Macaca mulatta: one gene and its partners. The main gene of each other region encodes a partner of the protein of the gene in region 4 in a complex. Links are inferred from orthologs where the notes say so. Each region holds a gene or a part of one and is shown on either strand. Other genes may lie near its edges.

Region 1 (4,102 bases), on a different chromosome or scaffold from region 4:
TACACTCGCTAGCCTGGGACTTGGTACGGGCATGGGCTCAGTGACATTCATGCTGAGCTGAATTTGTCAGGTGTCGGTACTGTCCCTAAAGAGCACTTAGCATATCCTTGTAGGAGAGAGAAGGTGGTCGAGAAGACAGTTCTGAGGAGGGAAATGAATAGCAGCTCCAGGTACCTTTGTCAGCACACCTGACCCTAAGATAGGCCGCCTTCTGGACCAGGCACCGTGCTCATTTGTTGCATTTTCTCTGAGGAAGCCAAGGAAACTAGGGACCCTCTCTAGAGACAGGTGTAAGAAATATAGGATGTGCACGCACACACCATCTGTATGTAGTTCTGGGTGTTTATGAAGCTGCTGAAACTGGGGTCCTTGGAATCCTAGCAAGGAACCGCTGTGACAGTCTCTGAGGTACCTTCCAGCACTCAAGGCTGTCTAGGTGTTCTTGTTAACAGTGATAATAACAGTGCTAATAACAGCAGCTACCATTTACTGAGCACTTATTCTGTGCATCGGCAGGCACAGTGCTAAGCTGCCTTACCCTGTTGAATCCTCCTGGCCCACCACCTCCAGCTTGTACTGACACTGTGTTTGTCACTCACAGTCTGCGTTCACCATGGGCTTACATGGAGGTCTACCCTGCACCTCTCTACTTGGAGATTTGTTTTCTTGAATCAGTGCTTTCTGCCCAAATCTGGCCACTGGAAAAGCCATGAAAGTTATGAAACGGAGCAACGAATGCAATATTAGAAACACACTAGAGCTTACAATGTATAAATTTTCACTCGTAACATTTTCATTGATAATTGAGGAGAATGAACTCTGGAAAGGCAAACGACTTTCCCAAAGTCACCCACTGCAGTGACTGGCACACGCAGGACTCGACTTGGGTCTCCTGACCCCTAGCCCAGTGAGCTTCCCTTTTCTAACCTCACTTCAAACAGCACAGTGAATAGAAACAGTGGGTCTAGGAGCTCTTTCACTGAGACGAAGACTTTTATTTTCCTTTTGTACTTACTGGATACACACACCCTTCTTCTATGGTATGGCAAATTAGAAAACTCACATTTTGGTACAGAGTTAGGACATTTTGATAACAAAAGCAAGCAAAAGACTTATTTAAATTTGCAAGGAGAAACTCAGCGTGTTCATTTACTAGCTCAGTACTTAGCAGGATCATCTTTGGGAGCAGAAACACAGAAAATTCTATTATTTATTATAGATCCAAGTGCCCCCTCCCCCCTGAAAGCATCTCAGAATCCTGAAGAAGCTGGATGCCTGTACATCTGTCACTGGCAGAATCAGGAACCACAGCAAGAGTGAAAACAGAAAGCGATTTTGGCACTAAACTAGTGTATTTGGGTTGCTCATGTAGAAAGAAGATAAAAAATTACACATTAAATATTGGTTTAGGGTCTGCCTTCTGTCTACTAGGATTTAAACTATATGAGGGAAGGGACTCACTCAGGCTGTTGGCTCAGTTATAGCTCCAGTGCCTGGAGAACTGCATGGCACAAAGTGGGAAGTGCTTTGGATTTTTTTTTTTCTTTTTTCTTTTCTTTATTTGAGATGGAGTCTCGCTCTGTCACCCAGGCTGGAGTGCAGTGATGCGATCTCGGCTCACTGCAACTTCTGCCTCCCAGGTTCAAGTGATTCTCCTGCCTCACCCTCCCGAGTAGCTGGGATTACAGGCGCGTGCCACTATGCCCAGCTATTTTTTTTGTTTTTTTGTTTTTTTTTGTATTTTTAGTAGAGATGGGGTTTCACTGTGTTAGCCAGGATAGTCTCAATCTCCTCACCTCGTGATCTGCCTGCCTCAGCCTCCCAAAGTGCTGGGATTACAGAATTTTTTTTTTTTTCCCTGAGACACAATCTCACTCTGTTTCCCAGGCTGGAGTGCAGTGGCATATCTCAGCTCACTGTAACGTCTGTCTCCAGGGTTCAAGTGATTTTCCTGCCTCACCCTCCCTAGTAGCTGGGGCTACAGGCATGCACCACCACGCCTGGCCAATTTCTGTATTATTTAGTAGAGACAGGGTGTCACCATGTTAGCCAGGCTGGTCTCAAATTTCTGGCCTCAAATGATCCACCCACCTCGGCCTCCCAAAGTGCTGGCATTACAGGCATGAGCCACCATGCCTGGCCAACCATGGCCCCAGCTGAAATTTTTATTGACTTAATCATGAATGAATAAAATGATATGGCAATACTAATGAAAAATTTTATCCCCAGACATGAAGGAAACAAAAGGATATTCTGCTCATAGGATTATACATGACTTGGATACTGCTTAATGTCTAATCCAGTATTTTGCATTCTACAGATCTTAATAATAAAACCTATGGAAAAAATCGAGGATGTTTTCAAAGGATGTTTTTGGAGAATTTGGCGTTTTGAAAGAAATTGTAACTAAGCTCTGTGGTTCTCAAAGCTTCCTGTACCTGAGTTGATTTCAGGATCTCCAGGACACTTGTGGGTATCACTGGTAGATGCCGTTCAGGTGGTTAAGGTGATGTTGGTGAGTATTATTTGATAAAAATGCTGGATATTACATTAAATCACTTCCATTCTAGACTGCCAGTAACTACTATCACGTACCTTTTACTTCACCTGATAGATATATGGGAGTTAAAAAAAAGTTTTTCATCACTAATGGTAGTCTTTGAGCTATATAAGGTAAGAAACAAAAATATCCAAAACTGATTTCTTATCTTCAAAAAACAGCAAGCAAGGTAAAAGCAAATAAGCAGATAACTTCCCATTGATCAGAGATTGGGTGAAATAGGACTACTATGCACTCCACATTAGAGTCAAAGGCGCCTGCCAGTCACAAGCACCTCCTGATGCTTGTGGACATGTGTGATGAATCCTAGCCCCAGATGAAACACTCCCAGACCAAGTGGCCTGGCGGAGTCCATTCCACAGCGGCAACTTGCATCTGGCCGTGGACGATACCCTCTGTCCCCATCACAACCCACAATCTACAATAGAGCTGGTTGGTTGCTTTACTTTCTGAAAAATAAAAAAAGACAAGGTTGTGACTATCAAAGACCCATTTACCTGTTAGTGGCAAGGAGGTGAATGGCATCGTGGGTGTGTTTCCTAAATAGTTGGTCTCAGGCACCGGGATTTTATACAGACTAGACATAGGACTTGGAATTGGCCCATACCAAACTCTGGGACCTGCTGTTCCTGGATCCAGCGGTCTTGTTCCAAAGCCATGTGAGCTATATAAAACATTGTTCCGATATGGCACTTGAGGTTGGCTGCTAAGCCCTGAGGGCTGGGGCACTGCATTACCATGACTGGCTGCACTAGAATAAGCGGTGCCTTTTACCTCTGTATTCTGAAAATTCTCATAAGGTCTTTGCTGTGCAAAAGGGTCATGGGAGACCCTTCGTCTCCTTTCCTCCTCTCTGTTGTAAGCCACATTCTGTCTGGGCTGCTGTTTCATCTGCCTGTCCATGCGGCTGCCATAGAGATGGTAGTTTGCTTCCTCTTGGAGTTTACTCTGCAGACTGGGCTCATTCTCTTCTTGCTGGTGCTCCAGGGAGGGGGCAAACCAGGACTCCTCCACAGGACCCATCCCAAGTCCCTGGGAACTGTGCAGTGAACCAGGCTGTTCTGTGGCTGAGAAGAAATGATCAACATTAGAATGGGGTTCGTGAAACATTAAAACGTAAAATAAAATCTGAGCGCCATCATGAATCTGTATCTCAGAGGGACGCACAGAAAATAAGTAAGAGACCAGTCCGAAGCATTTAGGAGATGGTCCTCTTCCCACAAGCTTTACAAATAATAGGAGCTCCTCACTGGCAGTGAGAGAGTACTAGGAAAATTATAGCAAGCAAGAGAAGAGCGGCTGTTGCAGGGATGATCAAGGAAAAAAGGGACTTGGTTTGGAGCAGAGAAGGTAGTTGTCTCCTTGGAGCGATTCAGGTGGAAAATAAGATCTGCGACCAGGCACGGTGTTCACGCCTGTAATCCCAGCACGTTGGGAGGCCGAGGCGGGCGGATCACCTGAGGTCAGGAGTTCGAGACCAGCCTGGCCAACATGGCAAAACCCCGTTTCTACTGAAAATACAAAAACTAGCTAGGCATGGTG
Region 2 (4,849 bases), on a different chromosome or scaffold from region 4:
TAAACATTTTACAATAGCTTCTTTAGTTTCTTTATCTGATTATTCCAAACTCTGAGTTTCCAAATTCCAAGAATCAACCTGTGCCTAGGTCCACCCCCACACCCCCTTGCTGGAAGCTGAGGGTCCTGTTAGGCACTTACTCTAAGGTTCTTCTCCCTGCTCTTCCTTCTTTTAAAGGGGCTGTTTATTTTGAGTCAAAAAGTTGTATAGGCCCTGATACCACACCCAACTTTGTGCTTCACAGTAGTTTATCCCTGATTCTCAGGGTCTCATACCAATCTGAAGAAACCTGGTTATAACACCTTTCCAACTCCTTTTTGCCTGCTTCCTTCAAGTGGAGATACTGAGCCTGGGTTATTCTCTCCAAAAAGAATCACAAAGGGAGTGGCTACCCCTTTTGATGGTTCTCAGCTTCTGACTCTAGGCTTTTCTGAGGACCTGCTACACTTCTTGCCTTCTTGGATTCTGTGTGATACCACCATATCTCTATACTAAAGCCTACTTCAGACGGATTTCATGAACTGTGCAGGTGAGAGCCCTCAGTCCCTATAGGAACCCGATCTCCTCTTTCCTCCTACTGAGTATGGAGCTCCATCTAGGATGATCAGTGCCTTAAAAGAGGCTTAATATTTTTGGTTGTTCATTTATTCATTCAATTCAACAAATATTTATTGGGTATCTGCCATGTATTGGCTTTTAAAGAGACTACAGTTGAACAATTCCCTAAATAGCTCCAAAATAGCATGAGCTGACCCTACCAGAAGCCATGGTGTAGCTCTCCAGGAGTTGTTCTAGAAAAAACTGCTGATCACTTCTGCCTCAACCAGAAGAGCCCATGGACCACTGGACAAAATGGAAAGCAAGTACCAAGGTGAGCACCTTTTAGTGAAAGCCAACACACAACCCACAGGGTTGAGTATCCCTGTGAAGGACTGAGTGCCTAGGGCTGGCCCTATCGGGTTCCCACAACCTCCAGTCATGGTCAGACCTCCAAAAGGTAAAATATGGACACCTTTTTTCTGCCCTAAATCTTTAAGACTCTCCATGCTTCTGGGTTATCAAAAGCCTGTGTCCAGAGCATGTGCTTGTCAGGAACATTAATTAGGGTATTTGCATGCAAGAGTTGTCATGCAAAGGAGAGGGCAGGAAAGCTCTGAATTGTTTCCACTGCAGTGTACACCACAATGTCACCAACTTGCTGGATGGGCTGGTATATCTAGCCTTACCACAATGCCCTTGGAGTGGGTTTGGGGTCTGCCAGCTCAAGGAGCTCCTGTTCATAGGGCATGTAAGTCCCTATGAACATATAAGTCCCAAGGAATACAAATAGGGATCCTTCACTACATCGTTGGATGCTTCACAACTTTCCCAGCCTCCTGCAGGACCAGCTGAGTGGTCCTGCAACCTGTGTGAAAACAGGTGAAACCTATGTGAAAACAGCCCTGAAACCTATGATGTGAAAACAGGATAACTTGATGGTTCAGAGCCATTATTTCCATATGGGCTTAGGCAAGGTACTTAAACTCTCAGTGTCTCAGTTTCCTCATCTATAGAAAGGTAATAAAAGCAGTACCTATCCCCTTAGGGTTCGTGTGAGAATTAAATAAGCTAATCTATGTACCTGGTGCATGATAAGTTTTATATATGCATTGGCTATGATCTTAGGGCAGCTATGAGAGAGCTGAGCCCCAAAACCATAAAACCTGCCTAAGCACCATCTCCACTCATGGCCTGGCAGGTGGTGGAGCAGGAAATCCTGTGGGAAAAGAGAAGGCTTTGACTGTAGGAGTGGGTTGATTGTGGGTTCCTGGAAGGTGAGGACCCATTGCCACACCTAACCTGGCCGCTGCATGCGGCAGGCACTCAGGAAACGCTAGTCAGGGAGAAAGACACTAGCTTTCACTTTGCCCCCTGCCCCACCCCAGGGGCGGGACTGTAGAGGCGCCTGTAAGGGAAGTTGTTCAGTCAACTCAGAATACGGGTAGCAACCCGGAAAGTGGAGTCACCGTCCTGGTCTAGAGACTGATCCCTGCAGAGACAGATCCCTTCCCCTCTCTGCCAAAGACCGCAGCCCCAGAAGTCATTCCATCTCCTACTGCTCGCAATCTCCAGAGGCCCCCTCGCACCTTCCAGCCTGATGTCGTGCGTCAAGTTATGGTGAGTAGGGAGTGGCATGTCGATCGCAGCCTCCGACATTCACACCCAGAGCGCCCCACGGACTCGCTCAGAGAACGCCTTTGAGTCTGGAGACGGTGGGGGCCGGCGAGAGAGGCCGGGGATTGCAGTAAGAGCGCCGAGTCACAGGGGCGCGGGGAGCAGCGCTGGCGTAGGGCACTGCCGGCTAGTGGGCGACACCCCTGTCTCAGGCCCAGTGGTGCCTCCGCCTCCTTGGTGTCCATCGAGGAACTGGAAAACCAGGAGTTCGTCGGCAGAGGCGGGTTCGGCACAGTGTTCCGGGCGCGATATAGGAAGTGGGGCTACGATGTGGCGGTCAAGATTGTAAACTCGTGAGTGACCCCTGTTGCCCCCCCGGCCGCAATCTGGCCAAAAAGGTGGAGCCACTGTGCTCTGGGGCCTGAATGGGGAATGGAGGGATTTTTCCCACGACCCCGGGTGACTCCAGCTCTCTCCTGGAGTGTAGGAAGGCGATATCCAGGGAAGTCAAGGCCATGGCAAGTCTGGATAACGAATTCGTGCTGCGCCTAGAAGGGGTCATCGAGAAGGTGAACTGGGACCACGTGCCCAAGCCGGCTCTGGTGACTAAATTCATGGAGAACGGCTCCCTGTCCCGGCTGCTGCAGCCCGAGTGCCCTAGGCCCTGGCCGCTGCTTTGCCGCCTGCTGAAAGAAGTGGTGCTTGGGATGTTTTACCTGCACAACCAGAACCCGGTGCTCCTGCACCGGGACCTCAAGCCATCCAATGTCCTGCTGGACCCAGAGCTGCACGTCAAGGTCAGCTGCTCTACACCCCTCTCAGCCTCAGGACAAGGTCCCACCCCAGAGCAGCTCCAGCCAGGCCCACTGGACACCAGACCTCCAGAGCCCTGTCTATTGAATAGGCGTAGCCTCTCCCTCTGGACACAGGGCTGCCAGGGCACAAAGCCCAGCCAGGAGTTTTAGCTCCTGCCATACCAGGTGATAGAGGCCCCGACCCACACGAGTCATTTCCACCAGCTGCCCCACCAACCCCTCCAAAGAGTCATGGCTGACCCAGCCCTGGAGACTCACACCTTGACCCAGCCCTACCACAGGCACCTAGATCTACTATCCAAGGGAGCCTCTTCCCTTGACCTCCACACTCCCTTTACAAAGCTGAACCTGAACCTTCTGGGGGCAAGGGGGTTTCTGGAGGCTGCCTGGCCCCCTTGTCTTCCCTACCTCCCACTTCTTTCCTTCCTTTGCAGCTGGCAGATTTTGGCCTGTCCACATTTCAGGGAGGCTCACAGTCAGGGACAGCATCCAGGGAGCCAGGGGGCACCCTGGGCTACTTGGCCCCAGAACTGTTTGTTAATGTAAACCGGAAGGCCTCCACAGCCAGTGATGTCTACAGGTAAGGATCCCAGCCCAAACACACAGCCGGGATTCCTACACTTCTCTGGGCCCTCCCAGGGGGTGATGTATAGGAAAGGAGTCTTGCCAGTGATTGGACTGGTCCTCAGCTTTGTGTCTCCTGCAGCTTCGGGATCCTAATGTGGGCAGTGCTTGCTGGAAGAGAAGCTGAGTGTAAGACTCTAGGCGGATTCTGGGATCCTTAACCCCAGGTGCCCTTCTCTTGAAAGCCCCAAAGCTTCCCCTTCCTGCTCACCTACTAAGACTGCCCTCCTCCATCCTTGTGCTCCCACATTACACTCCCTGCCTCTTTCCATGATGGAGCAGATATTCCCTTTTACCCTGAATGCCTTCTCTTCTCACCCTCCTCCCCTACTCCAGTGCCAACAGAAGCATCACTGGTGTGTGGAGCAGTGTGCAGGAGGCAGACCCGGCCCTCATTGACTGAGCTGCCCCAAGCTGGGCCTGAGACTCCCGGCTTAGAAGGACTGAAGGAGCTAATGCAGCTCTGCTGGAGCAGTGAGCCCAAGGACAGACCCTCCTTCCAGGGTGAGCTGGCCAATTAGCTGGATCTGGGGTAAGCTTGGGTCTGTCAGCATGGGGCTTTCCTCAGGAAAAGAAGATTTGCTCACCTGCAACCCACTCTGCTGTCCCTCTAGAATGCCTACCAAAAACTGATGAAGCCTTCCAGATGGTGGAGAACAATATAAATGCTGCTGTCTCCACAGTGAGCGCCAACATCACCCCTCTCCAGGAGCTGGTCAGGGATGGCACAACATGGCTACCTGGCCATCCAATGACTCACCATTAACCACAGCTTTTTTATGCCTTGACCTTTGTCCTCACCCTCCCCAGCCCACCCCTGAGTTCCAAGAGACTACTCCCTTGGGTTTACTCTGGCTCATCCAAGTCATACCCAGCAAACTCCTCCCATCCCTGCAGGTAAAGAATTTCCTATCTGAGCTCAGGAGCAGCAATCCGAGATTTTCTACCCCCGAGTCAGGCCAAGGAGGGACAGAAATGGATGGCTTTAGGAGAACCACAGGAAACCAACACTCTCGTAATGATGTCATGGTTTCTGAGCTGCTAAACAAACTGAATCTAGAGGGGTCTCCCAGCTCTGTTCCTGAAAAATACCCGAGCCTTACCAAGAGGAGCAGGGCACAAGAGGAGCAGGTTCTGCAAGCCAGGACAGCAGGGACATCTTCAGATTCAGTGGCCCAACCTCCCCAGACTCCAGAGACCTCAACTTTCAGAAACCAGATGCCCAGCCCCACATCAACTGGAACACCAAGTCCTGG
Region 3 (3,928 bases), on a different chromosome or scaffold from region 4:
TTCATTTTGATGAAGTTCAAATTATTAAGCATTTATGTTATGTAGATTGTGCTTCTGGTGTGATATCTAAAAAATCTTTAATCTTTCCCTAGACCAAGATCACACAGATTTTCTCCCATGTCTTCTAGAAGTTTTATGGTTTTGGATGTTTATGAAAAGCCAATGATCCATTTGGACTTTATTTTTGTATAAAGAGTGAGGAATGGCTCAGATTTGTTTTTTTAAGTACAGGTATCTAATTGTTCTTGTACTTTATTTTAGTCTTTTCTCCATTGAACTGTGTTTGTACTTTTGTAGAAAATCAATAGACTGTAAATTTACAAGCCTAGTTTTGGCTCTCTAGTTTTCCGTTAGGCTTTATGCTTATTCTTTCTCCAATAACACAAATTGTCTTATTATTTATATACCTTTTAAAATATTTCTAAATCATTGCCCTATGGGACAAAATATACATTTTTAATTATGCAGTATCTACTTTCAAATAATACTGCACTGCTTCACAGGTTGTACAGGATCTTCTAACAGTATACTCCTAATTCTTCCCTCTTGTATTTTGTGCAATTGTTGTCATGTAGTTTACTTTTACATTTGTATAAATATATAATACATTGATAAAGTATTTTTGCTTGAGACAAGGGATTGACAAACTAAATGAGATACTGTAATGAATGAGAAACAGATGTTTATTGTGATCATCTGTTGATATTCTGAATTTGTTTATCCAGCAATTATCCTATCCTAATTTGGTGGAGAGAGGAGCCTGTGAACTGCTGCTCTCAGGTAACTTACAATCTGATTGAAGAAGATGTATCACGTATTCTTCAATTAAATGCTGCTTAGACCAGTCGGCTTGAATTGGTCCTTTTTATTTCTCTATGTTTTTTTACTGGCCTTAATAACCTGGATGGAGAAAAAAAAAAAACATGCAGTCTGAGATGCGGTCAATAAGTGGCCCCTCCTCTGTTTGCAGTCACTATGGCCTTCTAAAGTGTATATCACCTTCTGATAAAATTATTTTGTTCCCACCCTTCTAATACATTGGTTTGTCTTGGATCATACTCCCAAAGTGAATATCTGACCTGAGAAATACACTCCAACTTAGCAAGGTCATATATGCATATTTCTCAAGTCTTGGCCTCTACTCCTACAGAGACAGCAGGTAGTACAACCGACCCTGAGACTTGGGGAAGAGCACCAACTAGTGGCAGGAGATGGGTAGGAGGGTGTGGTGGAAGGTCAAGAGTAGGGGTTTACATGGACTCAAGTGCCCTGGACTATGGTAGGTGCAGGCGTGGTGGGACTGGCTAGGGAAATGTGTCCTCAAAGTATCTATTGTGTGTCTACTTTCAAAGACATTACTCAGAATGACTTTTCCAACTCTGGGCAAGCTTTCTGCTTTAGACTTGTAGTGTTACTGAGGAGCTCTTTCTTGGGCTCTGTGTGCATAACAGTATGCGCCTCTGCCTTGAAAAGCCCATGTTCTCTTAACTGTGTATCTAGAATATGTGTTTCCTAAGAGGGAGGTTTCTCAGTTCTGGGAGATGGACGTGTACTAAATATCAATGTCTTCCATTCCATATCCTGTTCAATGGCTCCAGTCCAGCTTCCTGACAGAAAGCAAAACATATCACCCCCTTGGAGAGTTGACTTTGCTCCATGCAGTTCCCACCTTTATGGTGCTATGAACTCCAGATGTCAGCTGCGGTTTTTCTCCATTTTTTGACAGTGTGAAGAATGTAAGTCGAACCTTATCTCCTTCCTTACATTGCATTGTGTCCTCGTTTCTAACCACCAATACTTCCATTTCCCCAGTCTTGTCACTTAGGTCAAATAATACATTTTTCTTCTTTTCTGTTACCTGTAAAAGAAAATCAACATCCAGCCTCTGATAATCTGATTAAGGAATGCCACATCAGTCACACATCAGACATGCCAGAAGAAGGCTCTAAAAAGAAATACAGTTAATTCTTGAACAACACAGATTTTACCTGTGCAGGTCCATTTACATGGGAATTTTCCTCTGTCTCTGCCACCCCAAGACGGCAAGAGCAACCCTCCTCTTCCTCCTTCCTCCTCAGTCTACTTAACATGAAGACAGTGATGAAGAACTTTGATGATCTACTGCCACTTAATGAATAGTCAGTATATTTTCTTTTTTGTGATTTTCTTAATAACATTTTTCTCTACCTCACTTTTTAAGAATATAGTATATAATATGTATAACACAAAAATGTGTTAAGTGACTGTTTATATTGTCTGTAAGGCTTCTGGTCAAGAGTAGGCTATTAAGTAGTTAAGTTTTTGGGGAATCAAAAATTATATGCAGATTTTCGACTGCTCGGGGTCAGCAGCCCTAATCCCTACATTGTTCAAGGGTCAACTTGAAGAAAAAGTTTCTGCTTTGAAACTAGCAGGTATATATCTAATAGATGTTAGCAAGTTCACACAGAGGAGGCAGACGTGTCTTACTTAGAATATGCTGTCTCCTATGCCCATCTTTCCAGTCCCAAACTCCCTTCCTTTAGGAGGAGGCCAGGGTGGCCCATAGAAGCAACAACTGCTGGATAGAGAGGATGGAGCTTCTCCAGGGCCAGTAGCCAGATTAGTCAGGGGAAAAAAGAAGACCCTGGGGTTGGAAGAGAGCTATTTTTTTTATTTTTTTATTTTTTGAAACAGAGTTTCGCTCCTTCACCCAGGCTGGAGTGCGATGGCGCAATCTTGGCTCACTGCAACCTCCACCCCACTGGGTTCAAGCCATTCTCCTGCCTCAGCCTCCAGAGTAGCTGGGATTATATATAGGTCCCTACCAATACACCCGGCTAATTTTTGTATTTTTACTAGAGACAGGTTTTGCCACATTGGCCAGGATGATCTGGAACTCCTCAACTCTGGCGATCCACCCGCCTTGGCCTCCCAAAGTGCTAGGATTACAGGCATGAGCTGCCGTGCCCAGCCTGAAGACAGCTATTTAAAACAACAAGTCCAGGAGAGACATGAGGTAATGATGCAAGATCCAGCTGAGAGTCTAGTAAGTAATCAAAGACAAGAAATAATGCACAATCAAGTCTAGATCAAAAGGAAATAGGAGGTTGGTCAGTTATTTCGGAGATTGATCGTATTTTAGCTTTAATTTTATGGACTAAATCAATATATGTTAGTGGCCAGATTAAAAGCTGAAAACTGGGACAAAGAACATGACCTTCCTATCCAAGGTCATTTTACACTTGAGTTTCCAAGAGGACTGGAGAGTCTTCCTATCAATTCCTTCTAAAACTAACCCAGGGCAGCAGAGGTTATTCTGAGGCTCTGAATGCAGGGGCAGCAGGTTCCCTCTCTACGGTTCTTCAGGTCCTGCCCTAGACCAGAAAAAGTCATTCCACAAGGCTAGTTCCCTGAAGCTCAGAGTCATAATACTTTATTATTTCTCACTTCTAATAAGTCTCCTCGAGGAGTGCCTCTGCCCGGCCACCCCACCGTCTGAGAAGTGAAGAGGGCCTCTGCCCGGCCGCCCCACCGTCTGGGAAGTGAAGAGGGCCTCTGCCCGGCCGCCCCACCGTCTGAGAAGTGAAGAGGGCCTCTGCCCGGCCGCCCCACCGTCTGGGAAGTGAGGAGCGCCAGCCGCTGTGGAACCTTCCAAGTGTGAAGTGATAGCCTTGTATGTGATCTTTTCTGTCTTCCCCAAGTTTGCATTTTCGACATTAAAGTTTACTTTTAATTAAAAAGAAAGAAATAAATAAGTCTCCTCAAGCTAACTCTTTCTTCTGTTTTCTTCATTTAATCACAGTTCTTTAATCCTGACTTGCATATTGGTTTTTCAGGTCAATTAATTTGGTTGATTACTCAACTACACTTATTTTGCAATCACAACAATAGTCACTTAAAATAAAGATAATATGGACAAAGTACAAAAATAACGCAGAAATAAAAA
Region 4 (4,625 bases):
TGCATTATTAACAAAACTTCTGGACGGGCACAGTGGCCAGATTACAGGGATTACACACCTGTAATCCCAGCACTTTGGGAGGCCAAAGCGAGTGGATCGCTTGAGCTCAGGAGTTCAAGACCAGCCTGTGCAACATAGTGAGACCCTGTCTCTATAAAAAAATACAAAAATTAGCCGGATGTGGTGGCATGCAGCTGTAGTCCCAGCGACTTGGGAGGCTGAGGTTGGAGGGTTGCTCAAGCCCAGGAGGCAGAAGTTGCATTGAGCCAAGATCCTGCCACTGCACTGCAGCCTGAGTGACTGAGCAAGACCCTATCTAAAAACAAAAAATTAAAAAATTAGGGTATGCAAGTAATTTTTTATTTTTTTGAGACAAAGTCCTGCTCTGTCGCCCAGGCTGGAGTACAATGGCACAATCTCGGCTCACTGCAACATCCGCCTCCCGCGTTTAAGCGATTCTCCTGCCTCAGCTTCCCGAGTAGCTGGGAATACAGGCGCGTGCCACCATGCCTGGCTAATTTTTGTATTTTTAGTAGAGATGGGGTTTTACTATGTTGGCCAGGCTGGTCTTGAACTCCCAACCTGAGGTGATCCACTCACCTTGGCCTCCCAAAGTGCTGGGATTACAGGCGTGAGCCACCACGTCCAGCCCCCGACATGTAACTTCTGTTAGCTTCAAAGCCACCTCTGGGGCCCTGCACCAGACTATGAGCTGAAGGACACCCGTGCCTTTTCACCCCTGTAGCTCCAGCATCCTGGCACACTGTCTAGAATGTTCAGTGAATGTGCACGGAAGGGCATTCTGGCTCCAGGGAGTGAGAACTGAGTCAGCTCTGGGAACAGATGAGTCAGGCTGGTGGTCGAGGCATTGCTTTTCAAGCCCTTCATGTGGCTGGAAGAACCAGACAACTGGAACTGGATCAACAGGGGTGATGGCGTGGCAAGAGTTATCCCCCGGCAGTGCCCTTCTGGCCTCACTTGCCTTCTTGGGCCAGGAAAGGCAAAGCTCACGGGGCTGTATTTACTGCCCACCCCTTCCCCCATCCCATGCCATTGGCTCTGGAGGGTCTGTGAAACCCTGAGTCTGGAGGAGAACAGTTGACCAGCAGGGCTGGCCCTCAGCATAGTCCTCTCTGTTCCCATTCACCCGCTCTGCCAGCCCCAGATCCTGGCAGGAAGGGAGATTGGAGGGGTTGTCTGGAATCCAATCCTAGACCTTCCCTTGCAGACTTGCCCACCTGTCTGTGGTCTAGTGTGGAGATGAGGTCCAGGGTTTGGGAGGGGTGTGGGGACAGATGTCTGCCAAGGCACTGAGCCCTCCCAGCTGGAAAATCCTCTGAACCTGTGAGAAGAGAACACAGCCAGCATGGACACACCCTTACCCTTAGTCTCAGTTCCCACCAAGACACAGAGCATTTCCTGTGCCTTTTCCGCTATTTCACAACCTGCTTTTTCTTGCTCACCAAGGTAGAGGCTTCTTCTCCTGCCAGAAGCCAGACAGCTAGCTCCAGCGTCTCCTGCTCAGCGCCATGGCCAAGACCCCTAGTGACCATCTGCTGTCCACCCTGGAGGAGCTGGTGCCCTATGACTTTGAGAAGTTCAAGTTCAAGCTGCAGAACACCAGTGTGGAGAAGGAGCACTCCAGGATCCCCCGGAGCCAGATCCAGAGAGCCAGGCCAGTGAAGATGGCCAGTCTGCTGGTCACCTACTACGGGGAAGAGTACGCTGTGCGGCTAACCCTGCAGGTCCTGCGGGCCATCAACCAGCGCCTGCTGGCTGAGGAGCTCCACAGGGCAGCCGTTCAGGGTAAGCGGGCCCAGGCTGCCTCCTCACCCAGCACTGAGGCCTGGTTGCTTTGTGGGAAAAGGGACCAGGAGCTCAGAGCAGCTCACTCTGACTTGGGGGTCGGGAGTCTCAGGTCTACCAAGATCCAGGTGACTTTAGTTCAGGAACGTCCCTTCCTTCACTCTGGCTTTTGGCACTGGGTTAGTAAACTTCCTTAAGGCTCCCAATGGGTTTTAAAGAAGCAGGTCAGGGTCAGGAAAGGCAGGAGCTGGAGCACCTATTCTTTGAGACTTCTTCACTTCATTTATGATTAATACTCATGTCAGACAAACATCTCTAGGTTAGCAAAAAGGGATTGCTATGCAATCGTATGAACGGGGCTGGTATAGAATCTTTTCAGTGCTGTTCACCATGTTGGCCAGGCTGGTCTCAAACTCCCGACCTCAAGTGATCCTCCCGCCTCAGCCTCCCAAAGTGCTGGGATTTCAGGCATGGACCACCGTGCCTGGTTTATTTTTATTTTTGAAATGTATAATCTGGGTTTTGCTGACCTGTGTAAGATCTTATTTGAAACAGTTGTCCTGCTTACAACGTTTGAAAAGTACTATTTGAGGAATACATGGTGGCTCACACTTATAATCTCAGCACTCTGGGAGGCTAAAGTGGGTAGATTGCTAGAGCTCAGGAGTTCGAGACCAGCCTGGCCAACATGGTGAAACCCTGTCTCTACCAAAAATACAAAAAAAAGAGCCAGGTGTGGTGGCACACACCTGTATTCTCAGCTATTGAAAAAACAGAAAACAGGCTGATGTGAGAGGATCGCTTGAGCCTGGGAGGCAGAGGTTGCAGTGAGCCGAGATCACATCAGGGCCACAGAACAAGATCCGGTCTCAAAAAATAAAATAAGAGAGAGATAAATATGTAGCAACATCAAGCATGTTCTTACTGAATGGTAATTGACTGCCGTTGTCTAGGAAGTCCTGAACTTTTGTTTTTGAAATGGAGTCTCGCTTTGTCACTCAGGCTGGAGAGCAGTGGGGCAATCTCAGCTCACTGCAACCTCCACATCCCAGGCTCAAGCGATTCTCATGCCTCAGCCTCCAGAGTAGCTGGGACTACAGGTGCACACCACCACGTCTGGCTAAATTTCGTATTTTTAGTAGGAACGTGGTTTTGCCATGTTGGCCAGGCTGGTCTCGAACTCCTGACCTCAAATGATCCTCCCAACTTGGCCTCCCGAGAAGCTAGGATTACAGGCATATGCCACCACGCTCAGCTTATTTTTGTATTTTTAGTAGAGACAGGGTTTCACCCTGCTGGTCTTGAACTCCTGACCTCAGGTGATCCTCCCGCCTCAACCTCCCAGAGTGCTGGGAATACAGGCATGAGCCACCGTGCCCGGCCCGTTTTTTCCTCCATTTCTAAAGTTTAATATCCATGGGGATTCTCTCTCCTCTCCCCTGAATCTTGGGCCCTAAACGTGGGACAGCTTCATGACTTTGTAGCTGGTTGTCTTTCCAGAATATTCCACACAAGAAAATGGCACAGACGATTCCGCAGCGTCCAGCTCCCTGGAGGAGAACAAGCCCGGGAGCCTGAAGACTCCAGACCACCCCGAGGGGAAGGAGGGAAAGGAGGGGAACGGCCCTCGGTCGTGCGGGGACTGGGCTGCCAGCCTGCGGTACAGCCAGCCCGAGGCCGGGAGGGGGCTGTCAAGGAAGCCCTTGAGCAAACGCAGAGAGAAGGCCTCGGAGAGCCTGGACGTGCAGGGCAAGCCTCGAACCCGGAGCCCGGCCCTGCCGGGCGGGAGAAGCCCCGGCCCCAGCCCCTGCAGGGCGCCAGAGCCAGGCCAGGCCGAGGTCCTCCTGCGCAGGAACGCCAGCTCCGCGGGGAGGCTGCAGGGGCTGGCGGGGGGCGCGCCAGGGCGGAAGGAGTGCAGGCTCTTCGAAGTGTACCTGCCCTCGGGAAAGAAGCGGCCTAAAAGCCTTGAGTTCACCATTTCCACAGGGGAGAAGGCGCCCCCAAATCCAGAAACTCTCCTGACTGTAGAGGAAACGACAGCTGCGAATCCGGACTCGGCAACAGGCGCTCAGGCAAGGCCCACTCCGGATGGAGGGGCGTCTGCGGACCTGGAGAAAGGCCCTGGGAATCCAGAACATTCGGTCACCGGTAAATTGTGTTTTTTCCTACTTTATATCGGCTGCAAAGAAAGAACAGCTGGCGGGGCACGATAGCTCATGCCTGTAATCCCGGCACTTTGGGAGGCCAGGGCTGGAGGATTGCTGAGGCCAAGAGTTTGAGACCAGTCTGGTGAACATAGTGAGACCCCCGCCATGTCTATAAATAAAATTAAAAAAATAAAAACCCAAAGGTTGGACAGGGCGCCATAGCTCACGCCTGTAATCCCAGAGCTTTGAGAGGCCTGAACGGGAGGATCTCTTGACCCCAGGAGTTCCATACTAGCCTAGGCAACACAGTGAGACCCCATCTCTACAAAAAATACAATAGTAGCACTTGCCTGTAGTCCCAGCTGCTCGGGCTCACTTGAGCAGGGGGAGTTCCAGGCTACAGTGAGCTGAGATCATGCCAGTACACTCCAGCCTGAGCAACGTAGCAAGATTCCACTTCTACAAAACTAAAAAAAAAAATTAGCTGGGTGTGGTGGCACATGCCTGTAATTCTAGCTACTCGAGAAGCTGAGGCAGGATGATTGCTTGAGCCAGGGAGTTCCAGGCCTCAGTGAGCTGAGGTTGTGCCACTGCACTCCAGCCTGGGCAACACAGCAAGACCCCGTCTCTTAAACATTTTGGGGGGGTAAAAAAAGAAAGAAAGAACGTCCA

Evidence for each region.
Region 1: MEFV (region 4) and RIPK1 share a complex: the UniProt entries of both Homo sapiens proteins name them as parts of the AIM2 PANoptosome complex. The link is inferred for Macaca mulatta from reciprocal best matches to the Homo sapiens genes MEFV and RIPK1.
Region 2: MEFV (region 4) and RIPK3 share a complex: the UniProt entries of both Homo sapiens proteins name them as parts of the AIM2 PANoptosome complex. The link is inferred for Macaca mulatta from reciprocal best matches to the Homo sapiens genes MEFV and RIPK3.
Region 3: MEFV (region 4) and AIM2 share a complex: the UniProt entries of both Homo sapiens proteins name them as parts of the AIM2 PANoptosome complex. The link is inferred for Macaca mulatta from reciprocal best matches to the Homo sapiens genes MEFV and AIM2.

The regions. Positions count from the first base shown.
Region 1 is NC_133409.1:180,157,376-180,161,477, forward strand, and holds part of RIPK1 (receptor-interacting serine/threonine-protein kinase 1), read right to left. Parts: intron 3,628-4,102; coding exon 3,058-3,627; intron 1-3,057. UniProt on the Homo sapiens protein: Serine-threonine kinase which is a key regulator of TNF-mediated apoptosis, necroptosis and inflammatory pathways.
Region 2 is NC_133412.1:97,456,225-97,461,073, reverse strand, and holds the start of RIPK3 (receptor-interacting serine/threonine-protein kinase 3), read left to right. Parts: upstream 1-1,918; 5' UTR 1,919-2,137; coding exon 2,138-2,157; intron 2,158-2,366; coding exon 2,367-2,507; intron 2,508-2,641; coding exon 2,642-2,951; intron 2,952-3,403; coding exon 3,404-3,549; intron 3,550-3,675; coding exon 3,676-3,722; intron 3,723-3,929; coding exon 3,930-4,097; intron 4,098-4,207; coding exon 4,208-4,275; intron 4,276-4,490; coding exon 4,491-4,849. UniProt on the Homo sapiens protein: Serine/threonine-protein kinase that activates necroptosis and apoptosis, two parallel forms of cell death. Necroptosis, a programmed cell death process in response to death-inducing TNF-alpha family members, is triggered by RIPK3 following activation by ZBP1.
Region 3 is NC_133406.1:107,861,456-107,865,383, reverse strand, and holds the end of AIM2 (interferon-inducible protein AIM2), read right to left. Parts: intron 3,753-3,928; exon of another isoform or gene 3,440-3,752; intron 2,999-3,439; exon of another isoform or gene 2,842-2,998; intron 2,139-2,841; exon of another isoform or gene 1,868-2,138; intron 1,859-1,867; coding exon 1,670-1,858; intron 901-1,669; coding exon 874-900; 3' UTR 666-873; downstream 1-665. UniProt on the Homo sapiens protein: Sensor component of the AIM2 inflammasome, which mediates inflammasome activation in response to the presence of double-stranded DNA (dsDNA) in the cytosol, leading to subsequent pyroptosis.
Region 4 is NC_133425.1:4,489,543-4,494,167, reverse strand, and holds the start of MEFV (pyrin), read left to right. Parts: upstream 1-1,330; 5' UTR 1,331-1,529; coding exon 1,530-1,806; intron 1,807-3,306; coding exon 3,307-3,954; intron 3,955-4,625. UniProt on the Homo sapiens protein: Involved in the regulation of innate immunity and the inflammatory response in response to IFNG/IFN-gamma.